2 linked regions of the Rattus norvegicus genome follow. The protein of the gene in region 2 interacts with the protein of the main gene of each other region in a biochemical or structural test. Links are inferred from orthologs where the notes say so. Each region holds a gene or a part of one and is shown on either strand. Other genes may lie near its edges.

Region 1 (8,006 bases), on a different chromosome or scaffold from region 2:
TTAGAGTACAGAACTGCCATGATTGCTTAACCTAAGCACAGGTTCTTCTGTTGGAGGAAAAGGCCAGCTGCAAGCTCCCTTTTGTAGTCTCAGAAGGTTTTTTGTTTTAAGTGCTAGGCCATCTGTTCTATTACTTTGTCTTAGGGGTGAGTTTCTTCTTCACTTCTCTTCTGTAGTTTGGTGGTGTGGCTTCTTTTACCCTTAAGATAAAATTTTCTTTGGTAAAAGGTGTTTCATGTAGTCTATAGCTGCTGGACTCCTTTTTGTTGTTGTTGCTTGTTTGCTTGTTTTAGGTTTTTGTAATAGATTGAAATAGATCAAGTCTGAACCTTGTGTGAGGTTCTTGAGGAATCTTTATGATGGTGTTCTGATTCTGTTTCTGAAAAATTTTTTCATGGTTTTCATGGGTTTATGGTTTTCATGAAATAATTCCATGTGTAGCTTCTTATTTTGTACACTGGGTACTTGAAGTGTATACTTTTTCAAGTTTTTTTTTTTTTTTTTTTCCCCCGGAGCTGGGGACTGAACCCAGGGCCTTGCGCTTGCTAGGCAAGCGCTCTACCACTGAGCTAAATCCCCAACCCGTGTATACTTTTGACATGAGGTTCTGTTCTCTTTAAGCCTTAGATATTCATGGTACTATATACCATCGTTTAAATATATTTAAAGAAAATTAAAACAATATTCACAATAATAACTCAATTGTAGTTTTATTTATTTCATATAAGGCTGTTTGGGTAAGTTTAGGTGAAAGATTGACAGCATGTGGTATTTTAGTATACATGAAAAAACAAATACGTTATGGAATTTGGTATATGAGTGTGGCACACCAACACACCCCAAGGTTGGATGTGTTCTTGGTATATTCTGAAGACTTCACAGTTTTGACCAGCCCATTCACTAATTATTGATACGTGCCAGAATAAGTGATTGAAAAGTTATGACTACACTGTTAGAAGACACAAACCAAAGTATGTGTTTCCGAGATAATTGAACAGGTTTCTTCTGATGTGAATGGGAAGATGGCTATTTTGGTAGCTATAAATACTTCACTTGATAACTTGGTTTTTATTAAAGTGATTGCTTATCCATACAGTTGTAATATCATTTATTTTTCTGAAGATTCTAGTAAATTTTTTTAATAATATTCTTACAAAAGTGTTTCTAATTGTGTGATAGGTCACAAGTAATGTTTATATGAATCCCTTTAATTGAACAAATATATACCAGCAGACTGGCACGAAGTGAACTAAGCATTGGTGTGTGAGGTTCCTGTAATCAGAACTCAGGAGAGTAAGCCATGGAGCAGAGGTTCAGGCAGGCGTTGCCAGGGTGCTGTTGCATACTTAATTGGCAGCAAAGTTGTCCAAAGGGGTGACATGGGTTGTTGGATTTATGAGAGCACCTTTTAAAGAGCTTTTCAGTAGGGAATATAGAAAGGAACGGCAAAAAGACCAAGTATCAGATTAGATAAAAGAGCAGACAAAATGTGCTCCAGCTAGCTGTTTCTGATCAGTGGCTTTCTCATTTTACATTTTAAATGGTATCCATTACTATGGGTGTTCAGTTTTCTTCTTTAACGGTATGATTATGCTATTTAATATACAAGTTAATTAAATCAGTCTGTATTTGGTGTACCATCTCCCTATTAAATGAAGCTTACTTAAGTGTTTCCTTCTTGCTCTTCGTAAAGCTTTCTTTCTCCTTGAAGAATTTTAAATACAGAAAACAGTACAATAGGGTGTAAGATAGAGCTGCCTGGTTGGGGTATCTACAATTTTCAGAGTCTGTTGGAGTTGATTATGGTTTGATATATTTCTCAACATAGTCCAAATATTTTTTTTCTGTTGTAGAACAAAATCCAGTCTCATAGCAGAGGAGAATACAATGTTTACAGCACCTTCCAGAGCCATGAGCCAGAATTTGACTACTTGAAAAGCTTAGAAATAGAAGAGAAGATCAACAAAATTAGGTGGTTACCCCAGAAAAATGCTGCCCAGTTTTTATTGTCTACCAATGGTAAGTGTGCATCTTTTGTTTTCAGGCATCCATGGGCATATGGTTCTCCAGAGGATGCAGGCCCTTCCCTTGTGCAGAACGTTAATTTACTACTTTTGCTTCTTTTATTGCTAACTTGCAAATTCAGATTCCTGGGTACTAATTTTTTATTTAGGCCAATTTTATTTCTGCCTCCTTTGGTTGATCCCAAATCCTGAGTTGAATATTCCTTACCAGAAGACATAGGTAGCAGTGTCTTTGTTACAGCACTGTTATGAATGTATATTAACATGGTAACTTGGCAGGTAGACCCAATGCTTAGAAAATGCTTATTTTCTTTCCAAACTTTACAGAAGATGATTTATCTCCAGGATGATTTCTAGGAGAGTATGCTTCTTCCTTGACTTTGACTAGCTCTTCACTTTCTTCTCTATAAGCCACATGGGTGGAAGAAGATTCTCATGTTAGCTGTATTTGTGTAAGGAAAGGTGGGAGAAAGGGTTAGAGCTGGGTGTAATGTTGGTCAGAGTTTGAGGTTTTGCATGACAAATTAAGAGTAGTATAAATTTGTGTGTGTGTGTGTGTGTGTGTGTGAGAGAGAGAGAGACAGACAGATAGACAGAGAGAGAGAGAGAGAGAGAGAGAGAGAGAGAGAGAGAGAGTGAGTTTTGACTTATCAGGACCTTGAGATTGAAGAGATGGGGGTGACACTTTGAGATCTGGGTGTCATGGTCTATTAAAACTTTAGGCTGACACACATTAGCAGAAATCTCACATTTATCTCATCTAACTATTAATAGAAGCAAACCTTAGCACTTACATCTTTCTGTTTGCAGAGTGTGTAGACTCATGACTACTTAGGGTAACACAGTGGGAGATATTTAGAGCCCCTTCGTGCACTCTTGTACCCTGTGGTTTATTGTATTGAATTTATGGGGATGCAGTGCATAAAACATCGCTCTACTCCTGATTCCATGCCTCCTTGGAGACCCATTTTCTCTCAATTAAATTTTTTTACCCTTTTTACCCTCTGCCTTCCTCTTTCTAAATAAATGACAATTTCTTCGTGTTTACGAGGCAAGGGAGGTAGTGAGACAGTCTTGCATCATAGCCCAGGATAGCTTTGAAATGTTGATATCCTACTTTGGCCTCCCAAACATGGGTATGCCCACTGTATCCCACCTCACCTCTTCCTGAAAGAAAGTGATATAACACGGCTGCAATACATTGCATCCTTGATAGAAGAATCAGATGATAGTTTCTAGTCTTGCTTCCATTTTGATTTATGTGGTAAACTGAGGTACATCAAATAGCTCTTCAACACTTTTTTTGCATCAAGTAAGTAATATGATTATACTATGTGTTTATATATTTGTTTTGTTTTACTTTTAGAAACAAATATCCCTGGGAAGTGTGTTGTATATTGTAGTTTGTGGTTTGAAAATATTTGTTTTTATGGTCAAGGGTATTTCTGTCTCTAGAGTTGATTTTTGGTTTTGTTTTGTTTTTGTTTTTGTTTTTTTTTTTGTTTTTTTTTTTTTTTTGAGACAGGGACTCACCAGTAGCCCAGGCCTACCTGGAACTTACAAAACTCTGCTTCCCTCTGTTTCCTGAGTATTGAGATTAAAGGCAACATTATACCCAGTTACATACTTACCTTACCTTCCTTTCCTAGGAGTCTGTGTGTTCTATAGACAGTGGACAGTATCTCTAAGCACAGTAGGTGCCTACATTTGAAAATACTGAATAATGCTACAAATTATTTAAGGGCCTTGACTTAGTCACTATTCTGTTGCTGTGAAGAAACACCAAGACCAAGGCAACTCTTATAAGAGAAAGCATTTAATTGGGACTGGCTTACAGTTTTAGAGGTTTAGTCGTTATCATCATGGAGGGGCAAGGGATATGGAAAGGAATGGGACAGACAGACTGGATCTGGCATGGGCTTTGGAAACCTCAAAGCCCACCGCTGATGACTAGGCTTTCAAATACATGAGACTATGGGGGCTATAATTATTCAAACCACTACAAGCCTGAAAGAACAGATTGCAGTGTTTCGTTGTTATTACTGATAATCTAAATTAGACAGTCATACATTGGTGGGGGATATCTAAATAAGACGTTGGTAACACCTTGGGGGGATATGTGTTTAAAAATAGGGCCCAATATGGTAGTATTTAAAAGGTCAGCATTTTACAGACTTGTGTTTGAGTGTGAAGGGCTAGAGAAGGTAGAGGAAGGGTAAAACTGGAGCCATGCCCAATGGTTTTGATGTACATAAAGCATCTCGGAGATGTCAGCACTCATAGGGTGGCCTCCATGTTTACTGTGAGACATAGCATCAAAGCCCTTATATATTAAATGCAGAGTTAGAAACAAAAGTTGTTTGCCTTTCCCTGAGTCCTGCTGCTCACCGTATTGAGCATGAGCACTAGTAAAGAGGTTGTTCTCAGAGCTTTTGGCAAGATATTTTTAAGTCATAATTAATTAAATGGATTTTCATGTAGCAATTTTATTTCCTGTCTTCCTGCTTCCCAGTGTACTACACTGAGATCATGTAACTATTATAGTATTTCAGTGTTCTGTATTCCATGACTGAAACAAAAACATTTTTAAATTCTAAGTCACAAGCTTTATGATTGAAAAAAAATGTACCTTAAAAAAATTCTTTCAGATTTTGTCAGAGTTGTTTGTTTGCTTTAGAGGGCTTTATTTGTTGGGGGGGGGGCATGGGCCTGTGTGCACACATGCGCTGTTTTGTTTTTCTCTAAGAAAATAGGAACTAATTTAATCCCATCTGAAAGTTTGGTATGTTACGGTCCTATCTGGACTGTTTATAAGGTTGATGAATTTCAATAGACTGAAGATAGAGCTCGGGGTGGGGGGTATTTGTCATTCTCATCTTCAGAAAGGGATTTCTAAGCAATGCTTATGTCTTCCAAAGTTAAGAAAGAGAGTGTAAATGGCTTTTATGTGAGCACCTATTACTCAACCATCTGTCTGTAAGCCTAGTAGTATACTGGAAGCAGAGCCTAGCTGCAGAGGAATCACAAACAAGATCTAGATGAGAGCTTAGGGGTACACTGTAAGATGCTGAAGCCAGGAGTTTACACTTGAATCAAGTGTTGCAAGCAGGCAGTAGAAATGGCTGCTCTAGTGTCTCCCTGTAGATTGTCTTGTATCACTTTTAAAATGGCTTTCAGGCTATTTTAAAACTATGATATTCAATTTTGCTTATATAAGATCATTCAAGGGGCTGGGGATTTAGCTCAGTGGTAGAGCGCTTACCTAGGAAGCGCAAGGCCCTGGGTTCGGTCCCCAGCTCCGAAAAAAAAGAACAAAAAAAAAAAAAGATCATTCAAAATGTCTTGCTTTTGTATAAAAATACCATTTTAGAATTATAACTACATAAAATCATACATGAGTCCATAGTAAATAGTCTTAAACAATACATGGGTAGACTTTTATTTCCAAAGAATAAAGTGAGTAGGTGTGCAAAGTGTGCGGAGGCGAAGCCTGACAATATCAACTACTAACCACCAATTATGCTGACCTAGTCTGTATCCTTGTATGATGAGCTTGGAAGTCACTTCTCCATTGTGTTCTTCTAAATACCCAGTGACATTCTTTGAAGGGCCACACTCCTACTATTCACAGCTGCCCTGATAAAGACAAATTATCCGAGTCTTTGAGAGGCAGATTAAAGATTAAGGAGGCTTCATGGCAAAATGTTGTGGAGTTTGGACCCTGAGACAGAAAATGGGTGTTGGTTAATGGGAAACTTCTTCAAATCTTAGGGACACCTTAGTTTCCGTAGTGTTACACATGGTTTTCACAAGCTTTGCCATTGTTGCGTAAGATGCTAACATTAGACCGGGTAAAGTATATGTGAGAATACATCTATATTTGGAACTAATAAGTCTAAATGCAATTCCAAGGTAGTGTCTGTGTGTGCGTGTGCACAAGTGCATATAGTATGTTATTGTATGCATCCTTGAATTATAGGGGTTTTTGTCTTGAAGGAGTTGAGGATTTGCTTTTAATCACTGTTTTCGGGCCCCTGTTCTGTATTTAGGGAATCCTTGATTCAAGAGGAGAAAAGACAAATTCAAAACAATCATGCTATCAAGGAGCCTGGTCTCCCATTAGATACACTGGGATAGGATCTGAGGAGCTAGGCCTTGCCACTTGAGCTCAGTAATAGGCAGTGCTGCTTATTTTCTACCGTAATATTGATTGCTGGGCACGTTTGTGCACAGACATACGTGTTTATACCCCTGAAACAGTTCGAAGTATTTCTGAGAACTAGAGACCTTATTTAGACTTTATGAATAAGCACATGGCTTTTCTTTTTGTTATTGTTGTTAAGAGTAGCTTGTGCTGAAAGTGGGGCCTCACTCTTTTCATTCTAGCACCTGAATGAGGTATATAAGAATTCTAGAAAGGTTTCGTTGGCTGGACCCTCCCCAGCCCTTGGGAGACGGAGCTAGGGAGATCTCTCTTTGAGTTTGAAGCCCGTGGTCTATGTAGGAAGTTTAGGCCAAGGCTGTTCACTGAAACCTTGTCTCAAAGGGGGTGGGGTGAAGTAAAAATTCCTTTAGGTGAAGTATTTGATGGCATATTTAAAATGGCCTATCAGAATTATTTTTTTTCCTGCTGTTTTTGAAGGCTTTCTTCATTCTTTCCCCAGATAAAACAATAAAATTATGGAAAATCAGTGAAAGAGACAAAAGACCAGAAGGCTATAACTTGAAAGAGGAAGATGGAAGGTATAGAGACCCTACTACAGTCACTACACTACGAGTAAGTCCTTAATAACAACGACTCCCAGTCCCAGAGCAGCGGTGGGTCTCTGTGTTTGAGGCCAGCCTGAGATATAAGGAGACCACGTCCTCAAAGAAAGGGGGGAAAAGCCTCTGATTGGTTTTTTGTCAATATTTGTATACTCTGGCTCCAAGCTAATGAACACTTCTTTATGAGACATTGTATCTCTCCATTGAAACAGAAAATACTCTGTAGTGGTCTCCTTGCTAACAGAGGCAGAGCTGGACACACATAACCTGTGTTTTATACTATACTATTCACTGGTTTGGGCTTTCAGTGCTGGAACCTTCTTTGTTACATAGAGAGCTTTGGAGCTGAGGAAGTAGAAATGGCAGACTCTTACAGTTTGTGCTAAAGGTGCTAAGAATAAGAAACTGGGCTTTTGGGCTGGAGAAATGACTCAGAGGGTAAGAGCAATGTCTGCTCTTCCAGAGATCATGAGTTCAATTCCCAGCAACCACATGGTGGCTCATAACCATCTGTAACGGTATCTGGTTTCCTCTTCTGACCTGCAGGCACACATGCAGACTGAAAGCTGTTTGATGTTTATATAATAAATATTTTTTAAAAAAAGAAAAAAGAAACTGGGCTTTCTATTTTAGTTTCATAATTCAAACCAGAAACATTTGCTAGTTTATACGAGAGCTACGATTTATAAACTAGTACTGTTTCTTCCTGGAAAAGAAGGTAGGTTGTTCAGATTGTTTATTTTTCTTCTAGTTCACTGCTTACCAACCAACATCTGTGACTTAGAAACAAAATAAAACAAAACAAAAAAACCAAAAAAAAAAAAAAAAAAACCCAAACTCAAGCTATATTCTTCTATGACTTGTTTTCTCAAAAGTGGAATAATGGTCTTATGAATCTTGAATACTATTTCAAAGGATTTATTTTGTTGACAGGTGCCGGTGTTTAGGCCCATGGATCTAATGGTGGAGGCCAGTCCGCGGAGAATATTTGCCAACGCCCATACCTACCACATCAACTCCATTTCTATCAATAGTGATTATGAAACCTACTTATCAGCAGATGATTTGCGAATTAATCTCTGGCATCTGGAAATTACAGACAGGAGTTTTAGTATCCACTTGATTTGTTTAGTTTGGTGTTTGGTAAAGAAATCAAATTATGTCTATCAATCTTAGATTTATCTTCTCTCCTAGATGTATTTGAGTCCTTGATTT
Region 2 (8,006 bases):
AGTTTGGATGGCGTTTTGCTAAAGTAGGACCCAAAATGTATAAACCAGAGAAAAATGAGTCTGTGCAGCAACATTTCCCACTCTGATGCAGTTGTCATGGTAGGAAGTCTGGCCTAGTTTTAATTCATAAGACGCTGCAGACAGATGATACCAGCATGCGGAATGTGGCACTGTCCTCGAGAGCTGAGGAAGGTCCCATAGTTGAGATCAGAGGACTTTCAGCTCTGCTGTGAGAAGTAGGCGTATTGCCCCACAGAGGTTGTTTGCTTGGACTTATGATTTAACTTGGAAGATGTGGTTAATTGTCCTTGGCTCCTTGACAGCACTGTGTTTCCTGTTTCAGAGCTTTGTGAGAACCTGCCCACTGAAGGCAGAGAGACCGTGATTATGAACCAAATCCTGCCCTATATAAAGGTGAATGTGACTTCATTTTATTTTGTTTACCCTACCTATGAAGCTCTTAGCATTTAAAGAAGAAAGAGGCATAAATGAATCAAATGCATAATGTGTGAAAATATTTATAGTTGATTTGTGCATGTTATACTTGTAAAGCTTGTGGACGCATAGTCTGTTACTCCAGACGGCTGGGTCGGCCGCTCTGCTGACCAGTGCTGCTGTGGACTGCTTGGGAGGTGGTGTGCAGGCTTTCGTTGTCTTTAATTTTTATTCTGTTTTAGGAATTAGTGTCTGATACCAACCAACATGTCAAGTCAGCCCTAGCTTCTGTAATTATGGGATTATCTACAGTTTTGGGCAAAGAGAATACCATTGAACATCTTCTGCCTCTATTTTTAGCTCAATTAAAGGATGAGGTGAGTCTGGCTATGAATCCCTTTGCTTTGGTGTAATTGATTTGATAGGATCTTGTTTCTTCTCCTTTTCTTTTTTTCTTTTGGGTTTTTTGAGACAGGGTTTCTTTGGGTAGCTCTGGCTGTCCTGGAACTCGCCACTCTGTAGACCAGGCTGGCCTTGAGCTTAGAGACCTGCCCGCCTCTCTGCCTCCCAAGTGCTGGGATTAAAGGGACTGGAAAGCTTTGGTTTGGTGATTTTGCTAAGATAGGACCCAAAGTGTGAAGATGGGGCGGGGGAATCATAGTTTAGATGTTTGACAATCCTTCTCTTTGGGTATAGGGTTACAGGTTTCCCCAAAACTGGGCACAAGGAGTAATTAAAAACAAACCCAATTGTGTGTGGTGGAAAATGCCTTTAATCCCAGCACTCTGGAGACAGAGGCAGGTGGATCTCTTAAGTTCAAGGCCAGCCTGGTCATAGACCAAGTTCTAGGAGAGCCAGGGTTACTTAGAGAAATGCTGCCTCTAAAACCAAACCAACCAAGCAACCAACCAAGAGCGGCTGGAGAGGGAGCTGCATGGTGAGCTGCATGAGCTCTTCCAGAGGACGTTGGTTTGCTTCCCAGCATGAGCTAACAACTGTCAGTGAATCTGGTTCCGTGGGGTCTGAGCCTCTTCTGGCCATTGCAGGTGCCAGGTCCACAGAGCATAAACATGTTCATGTAAGTCATGAAATACGTCAGTCTTAAACTAGCCTGAACTACCTGCTAAATGTTTTATGTTATATCACTGGTTCCTTATAGTTAAAGTTCATATATCTTTGCTTAAACAGTATCTTTTTACTTATGTTTAAAATGTAGCTTCAGATATTAACATTTAGTGGCCTGAGGTGTGGCTCAGCAGTTAAGAGGCCTGCTACTTGTAGAGGACCAGAGCTCCAATTCTGGTGTCCATATTGAATGGCCCATAAGTGCAACTCCAGTTCCAGAGGATCCAACTCCCTCGCTGGCCTTCATGGGCACCCACACATTTGGGCACACATGTACACTTTACACAGACAGTACATACATACAGATGAACAAATGATGTGAAAGTTAGTGTCAGGCATGATCGGAGTGCTTTGGATATGCCATTCACACCCAGCGGGCTTGAGGCTGACTCCTCATGCAGAGGAAGTGAAGCACAGGGATAGACATCTGAGGTCTCCCCGCGCAGGGGCAGACCTAAGACTTGAGTACATAGAACTGAACTCCAGGGCCTGGGCTTTTTACCATCGCATAGACTTTATGCTTAATTATTAATTAAAAGTTTTTTTTTTCTATTCTTTTTTTGGAGCTGGGGACCGAACTTAGGGCCTTGTGCTTGCTAGCAAGCGCTCTACCACTGAGCCAAATCCCCAACCCCTAATTAAAAGTTTAAACTTTATTATTGTGTGAGTGAGTGTGCACTCGTGTATACATACAGAGCTCAGAGGCTATCTCTGTGGAGTCTGTTCTCTCAATCCTCCTTTATACGAGTTCTGGGGATTGAATCCAGATTGCCAGTTTGTGAGGCAAGCCCCTGTTCCTGCTGAGCCTTCTCACCTGCCAATTTGTTAATTGATTTTTAAATTACAAAATCATGACTTTTTACTGATACTGTGGTTACGATTAGTGACACTGTGTTTTGGATTACCTGTGTACTTAGCACTAAGGATTTCTCTCTGCCGGTATTCCTCTGGTCAGTTCTGGCCCTCAAGTCCATGGCTCTGTGCAGGCTGGACAAATGCCTTTCTCACAGCCTCACTGCAGCTTACCCCACCTTTTAAAACCTGAGCCGAGACTTAATTTCTGTTTTCTGTTTTGGTTTGTTTGTTTTTGTTTTTTTTTCAAGACAGGGTCTGTCTGTGCAGCCCTGGCTGTTCTGGAGCTCATTCTGTAGACCAGGGTGACCCCCACCTTAAGAGATCTGCCCTCCTGTGCCTCCCAAGTGCTGGGGTACAAGATGTGGGCCACCCCCCAGCTTAGTACTTTTCATTTGAAGTTCTGTTTAGCACTTTTTATTTTCTCATGCTAGGAGAGTACTGGGCAAAGCAGCTAATTTTCACATGGAGTCTCTGGGGCTTGTGTGTTTATTGTAGTGTCCAGAAGTTCGTTTAAATATCATCTCCAATTTGGATTGTGTGAATGAAGTGATTGGAATCCGTCAGCTCTCTCAGTCTCTCCTCCCTGCCATTGTGGAACTGGCTGAGGACGCCAAGTGGAGGGTCCGCTTGGCGATCATTGAGTACATGCCGCTGCTGGCTGGCCAGCTGGTGAGTACCGTGCCGGGGAGTCCAATTGTGGACTTACGGCGAGTGGGGGCTCAGGTAGTCAGGCTGCTGTGTCTCCATCAGATGCACTGGAGTAAATTCTTGTGGCCTGCAGGATGCTTTTGTGTTTGCTTGCTTTTTCAAGACAAGGTTTCTCTGTGTGGCTTGGTCATCCTGGCTCTCCCTGTAGACCAGGTCTGCCTACTCTGCCTGCTGGGATTAGAGGTGTGTGCCACCATCTCAGAGGATGGTTTTTATTTTCAGTGGTGCATTATGGCCTAACAGGAGGGTGGTCCAGAAACACATTCACCTTACTGCCTCCTCATGATAAAGGTGTAGAATATGTAATTTCTTTATTAGTTTTATTCTAATAGATGTGAGTAGTTAACATTTCAAAGCTGACTCTACTGCACACCTTTCCCTTTTTTCTCAGTAGGGGAAGACGAGGGCAAGCTTGTTAGCCTCACCCCTACCCATGGTAGCTCTTAGACAGTTAACTGTGGGGTGGTTTCTGTGGCTTCATGGTGCTAGTTATTAATTAGACACTTGGCATTTCCTACGAGTTGGATGAAGGGAGACCTGAGTAGTTTCAGAATGCTCATGGATCAGTTTACTGCTGACATTTCTGTACTTTGCCCCCCAACCCCAGTGCCCTGCCCTGCCCAAAGGTTCATTTCCACTCCTTTCGGATCACAGCACATGGGCGGGCTCGTATTTTCTTGACCACTGCACCATTACTGATTTGGGTGGTTTATGAGCATGCGTCTTGTAGATAGCCATGTTTTATCAAATCTGAAATTCTCTGTTCCTCAAAATGAAGGGCAAAGATCCTAACTTATCCATGTGTCAAGTGATGTCATCTTATCATGTTTCTTCACCATCCATTCCAAATGGGGGTCATTTTCTGTTCCTCTGTCATCTTCTGTGTCACTGTCTAGAGTGGAAAGCAGCAGTGGCTAATGATGGGCTTGCTAGGTGGAACGAAGCCCCTGTGTGGAAGGAGGTGGAGGAGGTGGATTGTGTTTACCATTTCTTTGAACCTTACCCCACCAGACCTGGAAAGTCTCCAGGGCTGCCAGCAGTATGCAGAAGAGTGTGGAAAGAAGACAGATGTCGTCTTGGCTGGTTAACACCTTCTGGCCGGGGCAACATCCCTCAGTCATGGACACTGGCTGGGGTGGCATCTGTCAGTCATGGTCACTGTGTCTTTCTCTCTAGAACTGGAGTTACAGTTGTGAACTGCCATGTAGGTGCTTGGAACCAAAACCAGGCTTTTTGTAAGAGCTCAAATGTTCTTAATGGCTGGGCCATCTCTTGCCTCCATATTAGTATTCTTAATTTTTCTTTTTGTGTAAACTTTTAGTCAATAACATTTTCTCATGACTCTCCAGCCCAGCTCATAGGCCTGATGAGTAAATACAGAGTTAAACCACAGACTGTCTAAAGGAGATCACAGGGAAATCCTCAATCTGGAATAAAAGTAGGAGTCTGAGAGCTGATGCTGTGGGCGAAGTGCCTGCCAGATTTGGTCATGGCCTGGTGAAGCCGTCCTGTGTAAACACAGAACCCTTGTTGTTGGTCTTTCTTTACATACATCGTCACTGGTCAGGAATGTCTCAGACGTGAACCAGAAAGGAAGGCACCAGTTAAGTGTGCATCCTGGGCTTACCTGTGTGGTGTGTATGTCCTATGGCAAGAGGTCTTCGTTTGTTCCCAGCCTGTGTGGGGACCACAGGCTGAGAGTCAGGCGCCAGCTATCACTTCTACCTTTGTCCTGCACACTGGTGCCTGTTTTTTCTCTCTACTGCCTTCTCTCATGCTCTAGAAACACTGTCTTCTGTTGGTGATCTCTTGGTGTCACTTGCTGCGTGCTCAAGGACTTGCTAACTAAAAAGGAGAGATGAGAATTACCAAGCCCCTCAGCAGCTATTTTTCTGGGTAATTCACTTTCCCATGGTGTCTAGATTTGCTCTGCAGACTTCTTCCTGTGCTGTGCCTGTTCTGCTCAGCCCTGTGCGTGTGCATGTGTAGTTCAGTTCTGCCTTCCATAAGCTTGGCTGGCATCACTCTCGCCTGGTTTTGCCTTCTCTGATAGTATCATAGTTTGTAATTCTATGCTACTGTTTTTATGGCTCTTTTGTGGTTCAGCTTATGTGCAAGTGTGCCCTTAGCTTTTAGGTCAATATTGTACAGTGTAAATAGAACATCTTGTCCTAACTCTGGAAATGTTTACTAATGGAATCTTCTATATCCATAGGGTGTGGAGTTTTTTGATGAAAAGCTGAATTCTTTGTGTATGGCCTGGCTTGTGGATCATGGTGAGTAGACAAGTTAAAAACAGATATTATGAAAAAAAACAAACAAACAGATATTATGGGAAGTCCAGGCTTCTGCATGTTTGTGATGTGCACACATGGCTGTTTGCAGAGGAATCCTGTGGGACACACACTTTGCCTTGACAATGTAATGCTGAAGAAAGGTTGGTGAAGTTCCACTGGCTTTCCCCGACTCCATAAACATTTACTTAATCTGGGACAGGGTCTCACTGTGCAGCTCTGGCTGGTCTTCTGCCTGTCTCCTGAGTGTTGGGAGTAAAGACAGGTTCAACCTGGCTACAGATCTGACATTTGTACTTCTGTTATTTTCTGTTTTCAATGTGTTTTCTGGGCTGAGTAGCCCTGCCCTCTCTACCTCTTGAGACGGACATTTCCTCCAGAGCCAGGGCTTGCAGCTGACCTGTTGCTGTCGGCGTCCTGGGTAACTGGAGACCAGGCTGACAGATTGGAAAGGCCTGGGTGGAAAGGGTTGGCTACTCCAGCTTTCTCAGATGAAGTACTCATGTGCAGTAGGAGTTGGGGACATGTGCGTACCCTGAGGCAGAGCCAGGGTTTCGGTGTTGTGAAAGGAAAGCTTATTGTCTCTTCTTTGCCAGCTGCTGCTGTGCGGAGAGTGTGAGCTCAGGACAGTTCCAATTGGTCAAGAATGCTGGTGATGCCTCAGGGCAGTGTGTGCATAGATCTCTGTCTCCCTGGTGGCTGAAGGCAGGTGGGGCCCTCTGCACCGGGTCCTAGCCTTAACCGCTTCAGTCCCAGGGAGTGCCTTCAGTTCCCATGTGATACGTCCCATGAGCTTTGGGTCCGTGTTTGGTGTGTGTCATAAGCATCCTGTTGTGGTCTCAGTGTGCTGCGTATGCTTTATGTACTGCTTGCTTATAGTTGGGTACTTGTGACTGGGTAGTTGGGAAAGAATAAGAATATCCTTCTGCTTACACTTGCAGGTGACTTTGTTAAAAGCACATTTGCATCATGTGTACGAGTGTAAAAGGAAGGTTGTGAAGCCATGTATGACAATGTGTTAGGGCGCATGTATGGATACATCTGTGCTTTTAAATGACAGTGTAAAGACCTCTTTATTCCTTGTTTTCTCAAAAGTTACATCTTTAGTGATCATTTATTAAAAAAAAAGAAAAAAAACAAACAAAAGAAACGTGGTAACAAATAGGAAAGCATCTTTAATTTTTCTATTTTAAATCATGTGTAAGAATGTGTGTCTGTATATGGGCTTGCACTTGTGCTTGAGGGGCCTCTCGGAGGCTGAAGAGGGCATCGGATCCTGGTCAGGAGCTGAAATTGTTGTGAGCCCTCTGGCTTAGGTACTGGGAACTGGAATCCAGTTTTCTATGAGAACAGTATATATTCTTTACCACGGAGGCATCTTCCAGTCCAAGGAATTTTGTTTTTATTTAAGAAAGTTTTCTTTGGGTACGTGTTCTTGTCAGTGGCATTCCCAGAGACCTTTCTATTATTATTACTTCCTTTGAATGCAGTTAAGGAATAGACGGGCCTTTTTGTCCCTCACATTTTGAAGGACCTTTAGGTTCCAGTATTTCACAAGTTGAGAAATGGCACCTGTTCTGTGTAGGTGATGGCTATAGGGGACCCAAGTGTCCTGCCTCCTTCGTTCCTTCCAACTTGGGAGTTAGTAGGGTGGAGTTTATGTAATACAGCAGCAACACACAAACTGGGGACTGCAGGGTTCCCTGATGCAGTGGGTGGGTGGCAGCTGGGAACATCCCCTTCACCTGGGCTTCCTGAAGCTTTTGCGATTTAGGTTAGATTTCTGTAATTGGAAGAAGAATGCTGTTTTTCATGTAAGTGGTGCACAGTGAGCAGTGAGCAGGTTTTTTGGGACACATCCCCCTCACCCCTCCCTGGCATGAAACTGCTGTAAGATCAGTGTGAACAGTCTGGAGAGGCTGAGGGGGTGGGCATGAAGGCTGTGTTTCTATCATTGGGCAGAGTGAGAAGGAGGCAGGGCTCAGTGAGGGAAATTTGAAGTTCCAGATTTGTTTTCTAAGTGGTGGGTATCTCACTTATTAATTTATCTTTTATAGGACAAAGATAAGTATTCAGTCAACGTTAGTGAGAATTGATAGATACGTAAAGAAACCTTTCAGATCAGCCTAACCTTAAAGGGAAAGACAGACACACAGACAAAACAAGGAGTAAAAACTTGGGAAAGGCTTGCATTCCTCTGAAAACAGAAGGGAGAGGTGCCAGGAACACAGTAGGCATCTGGCCAAGTAGAGTTCAGTGCAGTTGAGGTCTTGGTCAAGGCTCAGTCTGTGGTTACTTTGGCAGTGGAACCCTGCCACATGGCATTGTAGAAAGAATAATCATTAAAACCGGTAGCTTGGAGCAAAACACAGGTGCTGCCCATTAGTTCCCCTTTACTCTGTGTGTGTGTGTGTGTGTGTGTGTGTGTGTGTGTGTGTGTGTGTGTGTGTGTGTGTGTGTATGCATACATGCATGTGAGTGGTCTGTCTTCCTATATGTCTACAGGACAGAAGAGGGCATCAGATCTCATTACAGATGGTTGTGAGCCACCATGTGGTTGCTGGGAATTGAACCCAGGACCTCTGGAAG

Evidence for each region.
Region 1: the proteins of Ppp2r1b (region 2) and Ppp2r2a form a complex in vitro, tested with the Homo sapiens proteins (2 studies listed by BioGRID). The link is inferred for Rattus norvegicus from reciprocal best matches to the Homo sapiens genes PPP2R1B and PPP2R2A.

What each region holds. Positions count from the first base shown.
Region 1 is NC_086033.1:45,387,827-45,395,832, reverse strand, and holds part of Ppp2r2a (serine/threonine-protein phosphatase 2A 55 kDa regulatory subunit B alpha isoform), read left to right. Parts: intron 1-1,853; coding exon 1,854-2,019; intron 2,020-6,688; coding exon 6,689-6,801; intron 6,802-7,724; coding exon 7,725-7,902; intron 7,903-8,006. UniProt on the Homo sapiens protein: Substrate-recognition subunit of protein phosphatase 2A (PP2A) that plays a key role in cell cycle by controlling mitosis entry and exit. Involved in chromosome clustering during late mitosis by mediating dephosphorylation of MKI67.
Region 2 is NC_086026.1:60,101,033-60,109,038, forward strand, and holds part of Ppp2r1b (serine/threonine-protein phosphatase 2A 65 kDa regulatory subunit A beta isoform), read left to right. Parts: intron 1-343; coding exon 344-414; intron 415-677; coding exon 678-812; intron 813-2,910; coding exon 2,911-3,084; intron 3,085-4,906; exon of another isoform or gene 4,907-5,019; intron 5,020-5,338; coding exon 5,339-5,399; intron 5,400-8,006. UniProt on the Homo sapiens protein: The PR65 subunit of protein phosphatase 2A serves as a scaffolding molecule to coordinate the assembly of the catalytic subunit and a variable regulatory B subunit.